Linked DNA regions of Anolis sagrei. The protein of the gene in region 1 purifies or fractionates together with the protein of each later gene. This does not show direct contact. Links are inferred from orthologs where the notes say so. Each region holds a gene or a part of one and is shown on either strand. Other genes may lie near its edges.

Region 1 (10,249 bases):
CCACATGAATTTCAAGAATAGTTTGCAGTTCCTTCTTCTGAACTACCGCCTTGTGGTCTCACATTCAAGTATTAACTAAAGCTGATCCTGCTTAGCTTCAAGATCTGCAAGGATCTGCTGCTTTCGGGTATACTTTTTTCTGATGTAAAATGAGGTTCAACCCAAAGTTGAACTTTCAGCAGCAATGTTAACTTGGACCCCAGCTACACTGACCATTTAATGCAGTTTCAAATTGTATTCAAGAAAGTGATTTTGCTAGGTAGGTGATTAATAAGAAATCCTGGAACAAGTTTGAGGCCTAGATAGTGAGTACACAAAACACAGAGCACTGACACACATTAAGGGCTTTCTTTCATGTATTTTTGTGCGAGTTATCAAGTCAGCGGAGTTTGAAGCTAGCGTCAAAATCTGGAAGGCCACAAGTTCCCCAGTCCAGGTGTAGGAGAACCCAAAAGTTTTATGTACAAGGCTCCATCTGAACTAACCATTTAATACAGTTTGAGAACTCACTACCCTTATCAACCTCAGTCAATACGTTAGGCCTGACTATATTGGAAAATCATAGAGGAATACAACTTCCCCACTTCTTTCCTTGACCTTTCATTCTTGTGTCATCATTATGAATGAGTACTTCAACAATATTTCCCGTCCTTCAGACAATAATCTTTACTTCATCCACCACAGAATTTGATGAAATCATGTTAAAAAGATTATGAGATACCTCTTTTACTAAACTATCATATATCATACCCCAAATGATCAAATGATTCATAAGTCACACATGATTTCAATATTTCTTACTATCATGCATACTGTATTCAACCCTTCAATTCCTCTCATTTTGTTTTCTGAACATTTAATTCAGTGTCAGCAATACACACTATATACAGGGAAAAATGAACTATCTTCTACGCTGCCTTTTGTCACACTGCAAACTGTGAGAGGCAAAAGATAGTGAGCATTACATATCTAGGAAAAGATAAAAATTCTAAAGTATCAACCTTGTACACCTGCATGTCAAAAAGCACCTTCTGGAAAGAGCATGTAAAACAATGTCTATGGTAAAATGTTTACTCAGCCATATCGATAAGACTAAAATATATTTTAACTTGCTGAAAATTTAACTTCAAGCCTCACTTGTAGTAAATACACATGGAAATGTACTAAGATCATAGCACACAATACAAATCAGTGAATAACTATTTCTTCAGTGCTAAAACACCACTGAATGTAAAGCACACACTGTCAATACCATCAACAGAATATATACACACACATACAGGCAGTCCCTATGAAATGAACAAGATAGAAAGATTCTTTTTTTAAAGTATTGTTTTTGTTAGTTTTAGGAAACATAGGGAAAGGTTAACACCACTATGATGTTTGTTTTGCTTTCTGTTCAGATGATTTCAACTCACTTTCTGTCCCTGTGATCATTGGATTTTGAAAGGTTTGGCCTGTTGTGGAAACAAGGGCTGGTGCTAAAGATTCAGTGGAGACACTTGTACCCATGGTAACTCTTTCAGGAGTAAGTTTCCCTTCCTAGGGGTCGATTCCTTTCACTTCCTGTTGTCTCACCTCTGTTCTTAACTATGTGTCAGATGTAAGTTGGACTGCCTATACACACAGAGAGAGAATCCCTGAGTTGTAGATAGATAGATAGATAGACAGACACACACACACACACACAAATGAATCTGCATTTCTAGGATGCACCTTGTGTTTAGAAATATTTATATGTGGGGGAAGTGCATCTTAGGACCTCATCACACTAGAGCATGGATACACTTTAAATCCAGTTTCTGCCTCCTGCAGAATTCTGGGGCTTGTAGTTCAGGGGGGGGGGGGGCTTCAAACTCCTCAGCCAGGCAGGAGACAGACACTGGATTTAAAGTGGATCCTTGCTTTGGTGTGTAGAGGTTGTTAGAATCAAAGAAATACAGTATATCAACTATTAGATCCTATTCTGCATTATGATCCTTCTCAAGCTTAAATGATATTTTACACAACTTTTTCGTTCCTAATATAAACAGCTGAACATATGCAGAATCTCTTCCCAACCCTAAACTTCCTCTTTGAAGCTCACTTCCTGCTATAAGCACCCTCAACTCCCAACACAAATCCTGACACACCTTCTTCGCCCTGTCACACCAACACGTCCACACTTCGAAGTCCTCTGGCCTGCACTGCTGCCAACCCAGCCTCGCCCGGGAGCGTACCTCAACCCCACCCAGAGCTATGGTCAACATGCATCTTGAAGCCCTTCCACATGCCATATAATCCATAATATTAAGACAGAATAACCCACAATATCTGCCTTGAACCAGGTTATCTGAGGCCCCTTCCACACAGCTGAATAAAACCCCACATTTCTGCTTTGAACTGGAATATATGCCAGTGTAGACTCAGATAACTCAGTTCAAAGCAGATATTGTGGGATTTTCTGACTTGATACACTGAGTTATCTGGCTGTGTGGAAGGACCCCGAGTCCACACTGCCATATATCCCAGTTCAAAGCAGATACTCTGGGTTATATGGCAGTATGGAAGGGCCCCCGAGTCCACAGTGCTATATATCAAAGCCCCCTTCCACACATTTGAATATAATCCCACATTATCTGCTTTGAACTGGATATATGTCAGTGTGGACTCAGATAACCCAGTTCAAAACAGATATTGTGGGATCTTATTCAGTGGTGTGGAAGGGGACTTGCTCTCCTTTTCCAACAGCACAATGACAAGAGAGCCCATCTAGACGTGTGTGCACCCCATGTTGCCTCCCCATTACATCTCCCGCTCAAGTAAACAAACACAGGTCCCTTCCACATAGCCATATAACCCGGAATATCAAGGCAGAAAATCCCACATTATCTGCTTTGAACTGGAATATATGGCAGTGTGGACTCAGATAACCCAGTTCAAAACAGATATTGTGGGATTTTCTGGAATATATGGCAACATGAACTCGATAACCCAGTTCAAAGCAGATACTGTGGGATGTTCTGCCTTGATATTCTGGGATATAGGGTTATGTGGAAGGGCCCTGAGTCCACGCTGCCATATATTCCAGTTCAAAGCAGATAGTGTGGGGTTTTCTGCCTTGATATTCTAGGATATAGGGCTATGTGGAAGGGCCCTGGGCCCATGCTGCCATATATTCCAGTTCAAAGAAGATAGTGTGGGATTTTCTGTCTTGATATTCTGGGATATAGGGCTATGTGGAAGGGCCCTGGGTCCACGCTGCCATATACTCCAGTTCAAAGCAGATAGTGTGGGATTTTCTGGAATATATGGCAACGTGGACTCAGATAACCCAGTTAAAGCATATACTGTGGGATTTTCTGCCTTGATATTCTGGGATATAGGGCTATTTGGAAGGGCCCTGAGTCCATGCTGCCATATATTCCAGTTCAAAGCAGATAGTGTGGGGTTTTCTGCCTTGATATTCTAGGATATAGGGCTATGTGGAAGGGCCCTGTGTCACGCTGCCATATATTCCAGTTCAAAGCAGATAGTGTGGGATTTTCTGGAATATATGGCAACCTGGATTCAGATAACCCAGTTCAAAGCATATACTGTGAGATTTTCTGCCTTGATATTCTAGGATATAGGGCTGTGTGGAAGGGCCCTGGGTCCATGATGCCATATATTCCAGTTCAAAGCAGATAGTGTGGGATTTTCTGGAATATATGGCAACCTGGACTCAGATAACCCAGTTCAAAGCATATACTGTGAGATTTTCTGCCTTGATATTCTGGGATATAGGGCTGTGTGGAAGGGCCCTGGGTCCACGCTGCCATATATTTAGTTCAAAGAAGATAGTGTGGAATTTTCTGCCTTGATATTCTGGGATATAGGGCTATGTGGAAGGGCCCGGGGTCCACGCTGCCATATACTCCAGTTCAAAGCATATACTGTGGGATTTTCTGCCTTGATATTCTGGGATATAGGACTATGTGCAAGGGCCCTGAGTCCACGCTGCCATACACTCCAGTTCAAAGCAGAGAGTGTGGGGCTTTATTCAGCTGTGTGGAAGGGGCCACACTTCCAATCGGCCTGGCCAAACTTTTCCTCTGGGCGCCCCACCGAAATTACGTTCCACGTGCGGGGCCACGTCCCTCTACAACCCGCTTCGTGGGAAATTAGAATAAATCCACGGCTCTTCCGGCTAGGCCCGGCTCTCCTCCTCTGCCACGGCAACCCAGAAGGGCCAAGGGAGAGCCAGGCCGAGCGCACAACCCAACCGCAGGGCGGGGCCTAGGCCCAGTAGGGCGGCCGAGGCCTGGCTCTCGGCGGAGGGGAGCCGTAACGGACACCCAGGCCTGGCCCATGACGAGGCAAAGCAGGCCTGGCCCGCCTTCCGGGCTTCGAAACCGCGCAGGGAGCCGCCATGATGCCCCCCTCCCTCCTTTCCCTCAGCCACTCACCTTCATGTCGGGACATCCTAGTTCACGAAGAGGAGGCGGCGGTGGTAGTAGCAGAGGCAGCGGCCCGGCCCGGCCCAGACCAGGCCCGTCGCGGGCTCCAGTTCCCCCCCCGTCCCCGCCTCCTCCCTCCCGCCCTCCCCGGCCTGGGCCTTGGCCGCCTCCTCCTCCTCCTCCCGCTGCCGCTGCTGCTCCTCCTCCTCCGTCCTGGCCTGGCCTGGCCGGGGCCCCCTCCTGAGGGGCGCGCGAGAGGCGAGGGGGGGGGAGAAGCCAAGGGAGGAGGAGGAGGAGGAGGCGGCTGAGGCGGCGGTGGGTCCCCTCCTTAAGGCCCTTCCTCCCACGGTGACTCCGCCGGCAGCAGCAGCAGCAGCAGCTCCTCTAAGCGCCGCCTCTCCTCGACGACGACGACAACGGCGGCCGCTTTCGTCCCTGACTTCCCCTCCCTCACAGGAGGAACAGCAGCAGCGCCGCCAAGGCCTACTCCCCTTCCTCCTCCTCTTTCCCAGCTTCCTCTCCTTCTCTCTCTCTCTCCCTGCCCAGAGGAAGAGGAAATCGCTCAAAGGGGAAGGGAGGGGGGAGGAGGAGAAGGGAAGGGGGCTCGCGCTCTGCCTCGCGCTTCCTCTCTCTCCTAATGCTTTCCCGCCTCCTCCTCCTCCTCCTCTGCTCCCTCAGCACGGCGCGCGCCTCAATGGCCTGCCTCGCGACCGTTTTGAAATCTATCCATATATATATATCTAGAGAGAAAGAGAGAGCTGTGTAAAAGGGCCCTGAGTTCACACTGCCATGTATTCCAGTTCGAAGCAGATATTGTGGGATTTCCTGCCTTGATCATTCTGTTTTATATGGCTGTGTGGAAGGGCCCTAAGTTATACTGCTGTGTGGAAGGGCCTTTCATGGCAGGTCTTATATTTATTTATTTATTTATTTATTATTTAAAACATTTATATTCCGCCCTTCTCACCCCGAAGGGGACTCACAGCATATACATGGCAAACATTCAATGCCGGGACACAGATGCACATACAATACATAAACATTAAAAAAAATTGATCAAAATATTAAAATACCATTTAAAACCGTCCTAGCCATCCGCATCAAATCCAATTGGCCCTGTCATCTTTCCCACAGCCGCTTCATTGCCCTGTCCCAGAAGTTTGGTCCCACAGACAAGTTTTTACCATCCTTCTAAAGGACAGGAGGGAGGGGGCCGACCTGATCTCACCAGGAAGGGACTTCCATAGCTGGGGAGCAATCACCAAGAAGGCCCTGTCTCGTCCCCACCAATTGTGCCTGTGACAATGGCGGGACAGAAAGCCTCCCCGGAGGATCTTAATCTCTGATAGTTTATAGGGGGAGATGCATTTGGACAGGTAATTTGGGCTGCGGCCGTTGAGGGCTTTATAGGCCAAAGCCAGCATTTTGAATTGTGCCCGGTAGCAAACTGATAGCCAGTGGAGCTGGCGTAACATGGGAGTTGTATGCTCTCTGTATGCCGCCCCAGTTATTAAACTGGCAGCCTCTCGTTGGACTATTTGAAGCTTCCAAGCAGTCTTCAAAGGCTATATCCCAGGGATCTAATCCCAGGTTTTTTGTTTATCCCATGGCCCATCCACACAGCCATATAACCCTAAAGCAAGGGTCTTCACACTTTTAAAACAGAGGGCCAGGTCACAATCCCTCAAACTGTTGGTGGTCCGGATTATAATTTGAAAAAAACAAACAAAAAAACATGAATGAATTCCTATGCACACTGCACATATCTTCTCTGTAGTGAAAAAAAAAACACTTAAAACTAATACAATAATAATAATGAAGAACAATTTTAACAAATACAAACTTATTAGTATTTCAATGGGAAGTGTGGGCCTGCTTTTCGCTAATGCGATAGAATTGTTAATGTGTGCTTTCAAGTCGTTTCAGACTTAGGTTGACCCTGAGCGAGGGCCGGGTAAATGACCTTGGAGGGCCATATTTGGCCCCCAGGCCTTAGTTTGCCCTAGAATATCAAGGTAGATAACCCCACAATATTTGCTTTGAACTGGGTTATCTGAGTCCACACTGCCACATATCCCAGTTCAAAGCAGATAATGCGAGATTTTATGCAGCTGTGTGGAAGGGCCCTCAGCTCTGTCCTCCGGGTTTGTAGTGACACCAGAGGCTCTCTGATAGAGAAGTGTTCAGTTCCCCACACAACTACACATCCCAGAATTCATTGGCAGCTAATATATCGAACTGCTATCATTCTATCTTGTGAATACCACCTTAGGCCATATCATCCGGAGCCCTTCCGCATACCACATAACCCAGAATATCAAGACAGAATAACCCACAGTATCTATTTTGAACTGAGTTATCTGAGGGCCGTTGCACACAGCCATTTAAGACAAAAGATCAAGGCAGCTAATCCACGCTGCCATACAATCCAGTTTAATGTGGATTTTATACAGTTGTGTAGAAGGAGCCTGAAGAAGTAGTTGATCATTCACACTGCAGGGTGGAAGGCGCCACTTTTCAACTAACTGCCACAGCTCCGTTCTATCGGATAATCGGGTTTGTGGTTTTGGTGGCACCAGGGGCCCTCTGATAGAGAAGTGTTCAGTGCCTCACACAACACATCCCAGAATCCATTGATGGCTAATGTATCAAATTGCTATCATTCTGTCTTGTGGATTCTGGCTTAGGCCATATTATCCAGGGCCCTTCCACACCGCCATATAAACCAGAAGATCAAGGCAGATAATCCACAATATCTGCTTTGAACTAGGTTATCTGTCCACACTGCCATTTATTCCAGTTCAATGTGGATTTTATACAGCTGTGTAGAAGGGGCCGCGGTTTCTGAGTGCAGATTATCTGCTGTAAAGTGGATTATATAAGTTTACACTGCCATATGGTCCTGTTTAAAGCAGACCATCTGCATCAAGAAACTGGATCATATGGCAGTGTAGATGGGACCTCAATTTTTGATGCAAGTACGCAATTCTTCATAAAACCTTATTTTGCCAAATTCTTTGTCTCCGCCTCAACTCAAAGATCACTTTGTGTACTGATATTCCAGATTTAGATGGCTAAGTCTTTGAATTCTCCAGGCGATAGTTTTGGCCTCACACATCCCAATTATACAATAGTGAGAATAGCACAGAAGTATGAGGAAGGCAGTGGGGATTATGATTTTCAAGTCAAGATGCAGAAAGGCTTGGGCTTCTGGGGGCCCTTCCACATAGTCCCATATCCCAGAATATCAAGGCAGAGTATCCCACGATACCTGCTTTGAACTGGGTTATCTGAGTCCACACTCAGATAATATGAGATTTCCTGCCTTGATATCCTGGGATGTAGGGCTGTGTGCTTTCCCTCTCAAACTCATATTATTCTGAAATTGTTTCTGCTCCCCCCACTCCCACCCACAAAACCACAGGCATTTCTGTCCTCGAATTCTCTTACCAGAATCTCCCACACTGGGAATAGGATAATGTGTTTAAACTCACAAAATCTTATCTTATGACTGAGAGCTAAACTAGAAATATCTGTATCCTCAGGAGGGAAGGACTCCCCAAAGTTATATTCAAGTCCCAGTGGGTTCATCTGAGCTAACAAACCAGACGCCTCATTCTTGGATATTCTTCTCTAGACTACACGTATATGTGGCCCAGAATCTCTTGTTCATTTCCAAACATTGTAATGATTAGTATACGTTTATTGGACAACAGTTAAAAAGAGGGACATTATGTATAAAGTTATCCAGGTAGGGAAAATTGCAGCCACAGAAGATGCTGTGCACTTCTTTGTTCCTGACACAATCTCAACCAGCAATCGAGCTAGTTGTCATTCTCAGACAAGAGATAAGAATAAAGTGGGAAGGGGCTCCATTGAGAAATTTGTTTTTCCATTTTTTTATTATTTGTAATCAATTAAGACTTTATTGAATGAGCTAAAGATTAAAGTGCCGACTTATTGGGAAGAACAAGACACATATATTCTAATTATTTTGCGTATGCCCAAAGGCACTAATCTGAGGCTCTGGGTCCAGATTTTCCCCCATAATAGCCAGCAGCATCACCACAAAAGATCTGGGCATAAATCTGTGGCAAAATAACTTTCTGGAGGGATATCTTAGAGGAGTGGATGCAGCCCACATAAACAGGTTGTCTGCCTGTCCCCCAAGATCCTTGTTATAAAGCAGGAATGGGCAACTTTTGTCTCTCCAGATCTGGACTGCAGTGCCCATTAGATTTAATGAGGATACCTGGAATGTATGCTGAGAAATGTAGTTCGTATAGAAATAATGCCAGGCACAAATTGCCCGTCCATCTTATACAAAGGTGACAGGATAAAACATTTCTTCAGCACATAATGATGGATGCTGTAATTCAACACATTTGAAGAGCACTAGATTGAGAAACGGGGTGAATATAAGTAGCATTAGAGCAGAGACATGATATGAGAAATCCTTAGTTCGAACTTCCCTGAAGTGATAAAACTACAGAGAAAATACATGTGTATAATAGCATGGACAAAATATTCTCAATGCCATAATTATTAATCTTATTTTTCCACGGCAATTTCTAGTTTTGTTTTATATTACCATATTTCATTTATGCATCCACCAACATCTGTCTGGAAGTAGCAGCCAGTAATGAAAGGACCAAGGCATTGACATCTCCGGCCCAGCCTCTGTATGGATATAAGTCAGCACGCTAATGTCTTAAATCAAGAAACAGCTTCCTAAGATCTACAGAGATACTTGCGGGAACATCTCAGCAAGCGAGAGTCCAAAAGTGGAAGGTTAAAACCCGAAACCTCAATCAGTGGCTGATACTGGATGAGAAACTCCCTCCTGGGCACAAAGAAGATTGGGCGACTTGGAAGGCACTGAACAGACTGCCCCCTGGCACCATGAGATGCAGGGCCAATCTTAAGAAATGGGGCTACAAAGTGGAGTCCATGACATGTGAGTGTGTAGAGCAAACCACAAACCACTTACTACAATGCAGTCTGAACCCTGTCACATGCACAATGGAGGACCTTCTTACAGCGACACCAGAGACACTTGAAGCAGCCAGCTTCTGGTCAAAGGAAATTTAGCACAATGCCAAGTTTTTAACTTTGTGGTTTTTTAATACATTTTTTTATACAAAGGAAGCAATGCCTACTTTTGCTAGACTCTCCGAGGAAGGAATAAATATAAAGGAAAAGGTTACATGAAGAAGCAAGTTTCTCAGTTTCTTAGTGTGTTCCAAGAGAAGATCCTGGATCCCTTAGTGACCCAGAAACTTGGAAAACATTTCCAAACTGTCTTTTCTGCTTCTGATACAGAATTCTCAATTTGCTGACACGATAAATATATAATAACATCACTTAGCAGAGTAACACATTTGACCACATAGAACACAGATTGAACAAGTACATTTTAATTCGATGTTGGCAAAGATGTTCTTTCAGCATTTGAAACAGAACACTGATAATTGATCAGTACTACTGCTATAGTTTACATAAATTTCTGGAAATGAATGTTTAAATTGCTGTTGTTTTACAGAGAGTGAATAAAATTGTTAGAGGCTTGTCTTCTGGATTTCCTTCCATTCCAAGTACAGAGTTCTACTTGTGCCATATCTCCATTAGGAGAAAGTCCCTTGCATCCTCTCTCCAGATAAACTGGATTGCTGAAAAATACTCTAGAATGCAGATGTTATACTACCAGGTGATCTCTCCATGGACTGAAGGCCTTATAAGGGAAGACCCATGTACTCTCACTGACAATTAGTTACAAAACATTGTACTAGCTTTTGAAAACCACAAATGCTTATACAAAAATAAATTGCCTA
Region 2 (10,280 bases), on another chromosome or scaffold:
TTATAATATAGTCCTGAGAACTTTGGAAGGTGCTTGATCTCCTGCTCAAACACTGGAGAAATGGAGGAAGAACTAGTTTCAGATTCTTCCTTGCAGCTCATGAAGATATTTTTGTTGTCCCTATATTTCTATTGTCAGTGGTCGACACCCACAAAATCCACCCCCGTAAAAAATAGTGATTTTCAGGCTTTCCCCTCCTTTCAAACCACACAGAACCCCATCCCACCCCTCAGACACACACACTCACACATAAATAGCAACATATGGGTAGTACTGCTCCCACATTCTTCCATTACCTCTGCAGTACCTCTCAAAACTGGAAGTTACAAGATATCCCTATTTGCCACCATTTTGAGAGGAACTGCAGGGGGAAAATCAAGGTATTTGAGTTTGCTGTGAAAGGTGAGAAGTGGCTAGGAGGAATTGGCTTCCTGACCAATTAGTAGGAGTCTGCACAGGTTAACTTTTGAGGTATTTAGTACCAGCAGAAATTATTCCTTCAGTGTTACATGGAATTTTTCATATGTTACACCGAACACATATGTGAGGCGAGGGAGGGGGAACTGCCTTTTCTACCCTTTGTGATAGTCAGTAGAAAAAAAATGTGTGCAAGTTGTACTTTCCAAAAGTCCAGAGAATATGAGCCATCTTGCTTAACTTGTCCAAGAGATCAAATTGTGTATTTTTCTTTTTTCATAGAGTCCTAATCCATTGCTTACCTTCAGTGTTAAGACTCATGACAGAATATATTACATGGTAGCCCCAACACCAGAAGCTATGCGGATATGGATGGACGTAATCGTGACCGGAGCAGAAGGCTATACCCACTTCATGTTGTAGAAAACGGTGCAAAAGTCCATTGGCAGGGCATAATGCAATAACAGCCTCAAATCTGGGGATGCAAGCCATATTCTGTCACATTTGATGAGCATCACAAAATAGCAAGAACGCACAGATCTGCCTACCTTTGTCGTCCAAAATGAAACCCATGCTGTGTAAGGCAGAATTAATTCTTAGATATGTTAATCACTGTCATAGCAGAAGAAAAGAAAAGCTGCTTAAAAGATTGTGGTGCTCCAAAATGGATAATCAGATTGCCATAAGCCTGTCCCAGCAGATTCTATGGCATTTCCCTGCAGATTTTATCATGCAGAACTTTCTTAATAAAAAACAAACTTCTTTGTTTGAACCTTGTTGGTATATTTCCAGTATTTCAAAATTAAGAAGAAAAAGGGAAAGTTATGATGGTTAATTTTTTAATGTATGGGATTTCTATACAATTTTAATTTTATAAGTATTTTATAACACATTTTAAACTACAATGTGTGGTGTTTCTGTTTTAATTTACTAGATCACCAAAGATTCATACTATTACAATGAGATTTAGCATCTGCGCAATGAGGGTTTTAAAATCTTTCATACATAGTAATGAAGTTTCAAAAAATATTACCATTCACTTTTTAATTTGCAAATACTGGACACAAGCTATGAGTATGCTTCAGATATGCATGTGAAAGAACTTTCAAAATATTCTTGAAACATTTCAAAAACCTTCTTCCAAGAACAATATCAAATGATTTTTTATTGTCATGCTCATTTTGTAATGATTTCGTTCTATTGGTTAATTTCTTCAAAAGTGAAAACCATCTGCTTTATCCACAGCATTATTCCTTCATTTCTAGCAGATACTAGAATATCTAGATCCCATATAAGACATACATAATAGGGTAGAAATGGGAGAAGGAAATGCCATGAAGTCCCATGGAAGCTCTTCACAAACTCAATACTTCCATGTCAAGACTATGGTTGATTCTACACTGGGTTGTTGTAGGTTTTTCCGGGCTATATGGCCATGTTTTGGAGGCAATTTTTCTCCTGACGTTTCGCCTGCATCTATGGCAAGCATCCTCAGAGGTAGTGAGGTCCTCACTTCAGACAGAGGTGGTCCATAGAATTACCATAAGAGGACCTAGAGAGAAATCTGCACATAATCAAATCTACAATAGTTAAACCTGCAAATATGGAAGGCTGATTGGAATATAAATATATTATTTTCCTACCAGCTAGATAAAGTATATATTACTTTTGATTTCCCTGGTTATCAAATAAATGATGCAAGAGATAGTGTTAGATCACCTACTTTGCATATAAAAGGTCCCAAGTTCAAGCCCGGGCATTATTTAAACAAAGAGATAAAGAAAAGCTTAAATCCTCAAGTCAGAATAGACAGTGCTGGACAGAAATGAATAAGAAAATAAACCTGACAACAGTGGGAAGCAACTTTTCAGATCCAGTGGATCAGTTCCAGTTTGATGGTCTTAAAGTGGCAACCCACCAACAGTCCATAATGGTTGATGTTTTCATGCAATGGATTGCCATACCTCTCTTGTAAAGATTATATATTTCTTAAGAGATTTTTTCCAATTTAAAATGCCTCTGTAGTCTTGGATATTGTATTCAGATGATTGATTGAATTTTGAACTTCAGGTCTGCGTTTGATATCCTCTTTTAATAATTGGATTTTGTGCCATATGTTTTTCTCAATGCAATAAACTAAAAATGTTTCTGTTTCTAAAACGTATAAATATTAAATCACATTTTCTGAAATGGCTGTAATCCTAAAGTATATTCCGTGTGAAGAGAGCTGGATTTTTTTAAATGTCACAGTGTGGCAGTAGCGTAGTTGTAAGAGTTCACAGTCCTAAATGTATTTACTTGAATGTGACTCTAATTAAAAAAAAATACTTGTAAGTGTGATTATGATCTGAATTTAAAAGGTATATTCACTTAAAATCAGTAAACTACTTTATAGTAAATGATTTTAAGATTGCGTAACAAAATTTGAGCCGATTAAAACTTACATCTGATTTGTCATGAATAAAATCTGGCTGAAGATGAAGCGAGGCAGAGACAATGGATTGGATTTATGACCTTGCAAAACTTATGCCCCATTGACTTCAGTGGGTCAATCTGTGACTACATCTGGATCTCACTGATTGTAAAAGAACTAATTTGCTTTAGAGATTTGATTGTAATTGCAGTGTCTGAAAAAAGGCAAAACACAAATGGGTTTGGTTTATATACTTTCTATCATGTATTTTGAATATCTGTACAATTTTACAGGTTTTCTATTTGTTTTGTATCTTGCATGTTGTAATAAAATCTAAACAAATGTTCAATAGTAGCTTTTCAAACAATGTGTCTGATTTCTCACTAACAGATTGTGTTATCATTATACACTTTAATCTGACTTCAAACCAGCCCATGCTTTACAAGTTGCATCTAGCTTGGGCATTGGCAAACTTCGGTCCTCCGGGTTTTTTGAACTTCAACTCCCACAATTCCTAACAGCCTACCAGCTGGGTTGTTGTAGGTACGAAACCTACCAGCTGTTAGGAATTGTGGAAGTTGAAGTCCAAAGCAGGCTGGAGAGATGAAGTTTGCCCATGCCTTATCTATCTCCATTAAAGATGGGGACTGATGACCACTGTGTGCAAGTATTCCAAAATCCATGGGGAGAAAACTCTGAAAATTGAAAACACTTGAGTAGTAAATCCATTTGTTAGATGTATGTGAATCAGGTCCTTTGTTCTCTTGTGATTGTATGTTCAAGTTGCTTATTCATGTTCAAGTTGCTTATTCATTTATGGCATCCCCATCAATTTCATAGGCTAAGAGAATCCTGACTGGTTTTCCATCTCCTTCCTCTAAAACAGGGGTCCTCAAACGTTTTAAACAGAGGGCCAGATCACAGTCTCTCAAACTGTTGGAGGGCCGGATTATAATTTGAAAAAAAATATGAATTCCTATGCACACTGCACATACCTTATTTGTAGTGCAAAAAACACTTTAAAACAATAATTAAAATGAACAATTTTAATAAATATAAGCTTATTAGTATTTCAATGGGAAGTGTGGGCCTGCTTTTGGCTGATGAGATAGGATTGTTGTTGTATGCTTTCAAGTAGTTTCAGACTTAGGTTGACCCTGAGCGAGGGCCGGGTAAATGACCTTGGAGGGCCGTATCCAGCCCCCAGGCCTTAGTTTGAGGACCCCTGCTCTAAAATATCACCTACACCTGGTAGTCACTGGTGGTCTCCTATCTAAGTATTTATCAGAGTTGGCTTTGTTTAGCTTTAAAGATCAGACAGGACCAACCTGAGTCCTAACAGAGAAGAGGGCAGCATAGAAATAAAGTTTTATTATTATATTGAAATAGAACAATTTGGACTGGCCACGGATAGTGCAATATGGGCCACAGATAGCAAAACCCAGAGCGCAGATACCAATTTATGTTAGGCAGATACCGGCAGCGGGTCGCCTGTGGGTCTGTGTGCCTGGTGAGACAAAGAAGCTAGCCCAATGTTCTCCAATCAAGAAATTTCATCAAGTTGAAGAAGCCACCAAGGTGATTTTATTTCGATCCAACTGGAAAGGATGACAGCTTACAGTAAAATGCTAAAGGAAGCTAAGATACCATACAGAGAAAAAACAAGCATTTTATACAATCATAAACTTTGTATTTCCTGCCCCAACTGTGGCCGGTTTGGCATTGATTGGTGGAGCCCTGTTGACGTCACAGCTGGCTGGGGAGGATTCCCTTGGAGAGGTGGGATTGCAGCACCTGTCAGCCAATCTGAAAGCATTCCCCACTTCTGTACTAATCCAAGGAGTGACCATCAGTAAAAAAAAATGATTTTGTCATTTGGGAGTTGTAGTTGCTGGGATTTATAGTTCACCTACAATCAAAGAGCATTCTGAACTCCACCAATGATGGAATTGAACCAAACTTGGCAACAGGATTCCCATGACCAACAGAAAACACTAGAAGGGTTTATTGTAGAAGGCTTTCATGGCTGGAATCACTAGGTTCTTGTGGGTTTTTTTGGGCTATAAGGCCATGTTCTAGAGGCATTTTCTCCTGACGTTTCGCCTGCATCTATGGCAAGCATCCTCAGAGGTAGTGAGGTCTGTTGGAATTAGGACAATGGGTTTATATATCTGTGGAATGCCTGGGGCGGGGGCAAAGAGCTCTTCTCTGCTGGAGCTAGGTGTGAACACAGAAGGCGTTTGGGGGAAATAGACCTTGACATTTAGAAGTTGTAGTTACTGGGATTTATAGTTCACCTACAATCAAAGAGCATTCTGAAAAGGTAGGTACTTTACAAGTCTCATCATCTCTCACAGTAGGCCTGGAGGGCCAATGTTTGCTCATGTTTGCTGTAGCCATTTTTGCCCCAAAGACAATAGTGGGGGGGGGGGGGGTGGCAAAAAAATCAACCCGGAAGCTCCATTCTAAGAGAAGAGGTCGTCGCTCTATGGTTGAATGATTTATGTTCCTCTTCGAGACTTCTCTCCTGTAGAGATAAGAGGTAAAGAGCAATGCCTAGAGCGGACAGTTTCCGGCGCCTGCGCAGTGACAATTTCCTCCTCCTTCCAGCGAACCCGGCGCATGCTCAGTAGCTCACGGAGCGGCCAAGGAAAGGGGTGTGTTGCTGCGGGGCTCTGGCGGATGGCGCTCTCCGGGGCCACGAGGCTGCTGTGGCGGGAGAGGCTGCGCTGGGGGCCGGCCGTCTCTCGGCTGGGTGAGTGACTGAGCGAGTGGGGCGCCTCCCTGTGCCTTTTGCCACAGGTCGAAGACAACTAGTGCCTCTACAGCAGGCCTGGGCAAACTTGGCCCTTCCAGGTGTTTTGGACTTCAACTCCCAGCATTCCTTTCAGGGCCTGAGGCTGTTAGGAATGCTGGGAGTTGAAGTCCAAAATACCAGGAAGGCCCAAGTTAGCTCAGGCCTGCTGTAGAGGCACCTGAAGCCTTCTACTTCTGAACCAACCTTTCCATTGTTCCTTCCCCTTTCCTTTTAGAGGAAGCTAAAACTTGGAATCAGATCCTGGGATATAGGGCCTGTCTGGAAGGGTCCTGAGTGAAGATACAGAATGGGGGAAGCGTGGCTCAAGAGCAGTACGTGTGAAAAAGATCTTGAGGTCCTCGTGGACATCAAGTTGAACATGAGCCAACAATGTGATGCGGCGGCAAAAAAAAGCCAATGGGATTTTGGCCTGCATCAATAGGAGTATAGGGTCTAGATCCCTCTATTCTGCCTTGGTTAGACCGCACCTGGAATATTATATCCAATTCTGGGCACCATCATTGAAGAGAGATATTAACAAGCTGGAATGTGTCCAGAGGGAGGTGACTAAAATGATCAAGGGTCTGGAGAACAAGCCCTATGAGGAGAGGCTTAAAGAGCTGGGCATGTTTAGCCTGAAGACAAGAAGGCTGAGAGGAGACATAATAGCCATGTATAAATATGTGAGTCATAGGGAGGAGGGAGCAAGACTGTTTTCTGCTGCCCTGGAGACTAGGACGCGGAACAATGGCTTCAAACTACAAGAAAGGAGATTTCATCTGAACATTAGGAAGAAATTCCTGACTATGAGAGCCGTTCAGCAGTGGAACTCTCTGTCCCGGAGTGTGGTGGAGGCTCCTTCTTTGGAAGCTTTTAAACAGAGGCTGGATGGCTGTCTGTCGGGGGTGCTTTGAATGCAATTTTCCTGCTTCTTGGCAGGAGGTTGGACTGGATGGCCCATGAGGTCTCTTCCAACTCTATGATTCTATTGAAGCCATATCATTTAATCACCTCCCTAAAATAAATGCTTTCCTCAGAAGCTTTGCTCAACCAGGGGTGAGAAAGGCGATATATAAATACTGTAAATAAATAATTTTCCTCCTTCTTGGCAGGGGGTTGGACTGGATGGCCCACAAGGTCTCTTCCAACTCTATGATTCTATGAAGACATTGCAGGACTTCCTAATGGCAGCAGTCACACTTGTTTCAAACAGTCAAGGGTTCCTTCTCCCACCCTGGACATCTCACACACACTTATATACACACACATCCCCATCAACTCCACTGGACTGGCCATGTTGTCCAAATGCCTGATCACTGCTTCCCAAAGCAGTTGCTATACTCCCAACTCAAGAATGTTGGTGGACAGGAAAGGATATTTAAAAATGGGCTTAAAGCCAACCTCAAAACCTGTGGCATAGACACAGAGAACTGGGAAGCCCTGGTCCTTGAGTGCTCTAATTGGAGGTCAGCTGTAACCAGCAGTGCTGCAGAATTCAAAGAGGCACGAATGGAGGAACTGATGTCCTCACTGTGGGAAAATAAGAGAGATTAGTTCCTGCACTACAAAGAAGAGAAGTTTGATATGCTCTAGCAATGTTTTTATTTAAAATTAGCAGTATGCATTTACGATATGAAACAACCAGGTATTTTAAGCCCTGTGTAAGTAAACAAAAACACTTTGAACCTTCTGAAGAATGATAAAATCATAGAGTTGGAAGAGACCTCATGGGCCATCCAGTTCAATTCCCTGCAAAGAAGCAGAAAACTCGCATTCAGAGCAGCCCCAACAGATGGCCATCCAGCCTCTATTTAAAAGCCTCCAAAGGGGCCTCTACCACACTCTGGGGCAGAAAGTTCCACTGTTGAACAACTCTCACAGTTAGGAAATTTTTCCTCATGCTCAGGTGGAATCGCCTTTCCTGTAATTTGAAGCCCTTGTTCTGCATCCTAATCTCCAGGACAGCAGAAAACAAGTTTGCTCCCTCCTCCCTCACGTATTTATGCATGTCTGCCAAGTTTCCTCGGCAGGCTAAACATGCCCAGCTTTTTAAGCCTCTCCTCATAGGACTTGTTCTCCAGACCCTTTGATCATTTTAGTCACCTCCCTCTGGACACATTCCAGCTTGTCAGCATCTCCCTTCAATTGCAGTGCCCAGAACTGGACACAGTATTCTAGGTGTGGTCTGACCAAGGCAGAATAGAGGGGAAGCATGACTTCCCTGGATATAAACAGTATAGTCTTATTGATGCAGGCCAAAATCCCATTGGCTTTTTTTGCCGCTGCATGACACTTGAAAGTTTCTTCCAGAATGTAGCCAACGATGATTTATTTTCTTTCTCTACTTTTCAGTTTTACCATTTTTGTTGATGTCGTTTAACATACTTAGTGATGCAGATATATTCACTTTCCATTGCTTTGCTGTTTGTGCATGCTCAGTAAGAGATTCTGGAGGCAGCTGCTCTGTTTTAGGCAGATACATTCAACAACAATTGGATCAACTAGAGTGGAATCCCATTCTTTACCAGCTCCAGCTTTACTGCATTAACTGCTGACATGACTGCAACCCAGCAGTGACAGCCCGTGTTGGTCCAGCCCTTTCCCCTCATCTTCCTATTCTTGTTGCTGGAGAATGGGGAGGAAAACTAACATATTTGTTAACTTCGGTAGACCTGTAATTTGTTTCAACAATATCCGCAGTAAAAATGTAAAAGTTCAATTTTTTTTGTGTGCGTAGGTTGCAGGCAAAAATCATCTCCCAGTTTCCTTAACCGGACAGATCTTCCAAAACTCGCCTATCATAAACTAAAAGGAAAGAATCCTGGAGTTGTCTTCCTCCCAGGCCTTTTTTCAAACATGAATGGTGAAAAAGCACTTGCACTGGAAGACTACTGTAAATCAGTTGGCCATGCTTTTGTCAGGTATGTTATAACAGAACAGACTTGTGCTTAGTGTGACACATATATTTCATTCCATTATTTTAAATGTTCTGTTCATGTTGTCAGTGAATTATGTTTATTTTTATTGACATGTTTATTGCATTTACATCCCATCTCTCTCCTTATTCAGAACCTAAAATGATCTTCTTTTTTTTGTAAAAAAAAGAAAAACAAAAATAAAAAACAAGATACAGTAGAGTCTCGCTTATCCAACCTTCACTCATCCAACATACTGTATTATCCAACACAATCTGCCTCCTGCCTGGATCCACAGCTGTTTAAATACATTGCAATGTTTCGGTGCTCAGTTCGTAAATACAGTAATGACTACATCACATTATCGTATATTGAACTGCTTTTTCTATCAATTTGTTTTAAAACATGATGTTTTGGTGCTTAATTTGTAAAATCATAATGTAATTTGACGTTTAATAGGCTTTTCTTTAATACCTCCTTATTATCCAACATTTTCACTTATCTAACATTCTACTGGCCCATTTATGTTGAATAAGCAAGACTCTACAACTAAAATATTATGTTCGCAAAAGTTTTACAAAAATTAACTAACTGCAATTAAAAACATGATTAAAACAATATCAAAGTATTATTATTTGCTGTTAAAACTATCTTGCTGCAGGCATCTTCCCAAGCAGTTTGTATATGGTAATCTTGGTCATTGCTGATTATACAAAGCTATGTTTTCATTTTTATTCCTCCACAGGTTTGATTACAGAGGTTGCGGAGGTTCAGATGGCAGTACTAAAGAAAGTACATTGGGAAAGTGGCGGAAGGATGTTCTGTCCATACTGGATGAACTCACACAAGGGCCACAGGTTGATTGTTCTTGATTTTTAAATGAAGCAGTTCTTCTCTTATGTTGCACTGTGCTTCTTTTTGTGAATAAAATTGTGGGACATTTCACTATTGCTAGCCTGGAGGAAGCAAACATACCCCTGACTTACGAAATCCTTTGGCAGGAAATTATTTTGTCTGGTTAATAAAGTTTAGCGTTTAGTTGTTGATATTCATCAGACTGTTCTGAAAAACTGTCTTTTAAAGAAAACTTCTTGGAAAATAGAATTGGGCATGGCTGGAAAGTGTAGATCTCCCAAATAACAATGTAAAGAAGTATATACTGGCATTGAATGCGGTAAAACATGCACAAGCCCTAAAATATTGGGGAAATTGTATATATTACACTTAGAGGTGAGAGTTACGAAACATTGACTGGTTTGGACTATGGTATCTCAATTTAAAAAGTGGAGAGGGATGAGTGAGCCTCATGTAACTGTGGCATGTAACTGCTTTTCATTTCAAACAAATAGCCTTCAGCCTAGGAAGCCTTCAATTAACCTATTTTTCATGGCATTGGATCTATGAAAGTTTTGGACAATCTGGCATTTTAAGCCATGAGGATTGTTCATATCATTTGCCATATTCCATATAATCCATTTTAAATCCAGGAAAAGTATTTTGAACAACAGGAAATGAGAAGTCACTCACCTGGCTCAGAAGTGGGGCGGGGGGATTGAGAAATATAAAAATTCAAGAACATTTGGGAGTTTAGGGGGCAAAAAACTATTGGTAAAAATGTCAGATTTTTTGGTCACTGTGGGGCGAAGGGGATACACTTGGCCCACCTCTGCATGCATAGAAAATGTTTTGTGTGTTTTCCGGTAACACAAAATAGCTAATACTATTTTCATGTTAAGAT

Evidence for each region.
Region 2: the proteins of KCMF1 (region 1) and ABHD10 purify together in Homo sapiens (affinity purification with mass spectrometry; 3 studies listed by BioGRID and IntAct, counting the BioPlex papers as one, with this or other methods). This does not show direct contact. The link is inferred for Anolis sagrei from reciprocal best matches to the Homo sapiens genes KCMF1 and ABHD10.

The regions. Positions count from the first base shown.
Region 1 is NC_090022.1:156,905,819-156,916,067, forward strand, and holds the start of KCMF1 (E3 ubiquitin-protein ligase KCMF1), read right to left. Parts: upstream 4,959-10,249; 5' UTR 4,444-4,958; coding exon 4,428-4,443; intron 1-4,427. UniProt on the Homo sapiens protein: E3 ubiquitin-protein ligase which accepts ubiquitin from an E2 ubiquitin-conjugating enzyme and then transfers it to targeted substrates, promoting their degradation by the proteasome.
Region 2 is NC_090023.1:48,250,651-48,260,930, forward strand, and holds the start of ABHD10 (palmitoyl-protein thioesterase ABHD10, mitochondrial), read left to right. Parts: upstream 1-5,440; 5' UTR 5,441-5,452; coding exon 5,453-5,585; intron 5,586-8,364; coding exon 8,365-8,548; intron 8,549-9,287; coding exon 9,288-9,399; intron 9,400-10,278; coding exon 10,279-10,280. Other genes in the region: PHLDB2 (pleckstrin homology-like domain family B member 2), read left to right, coding at 700-840. UniProt on the Homo sapiens protein: Acts as an acyl-protein thioesterase that hydrolyzes fatty acids from acylated residues in proteins.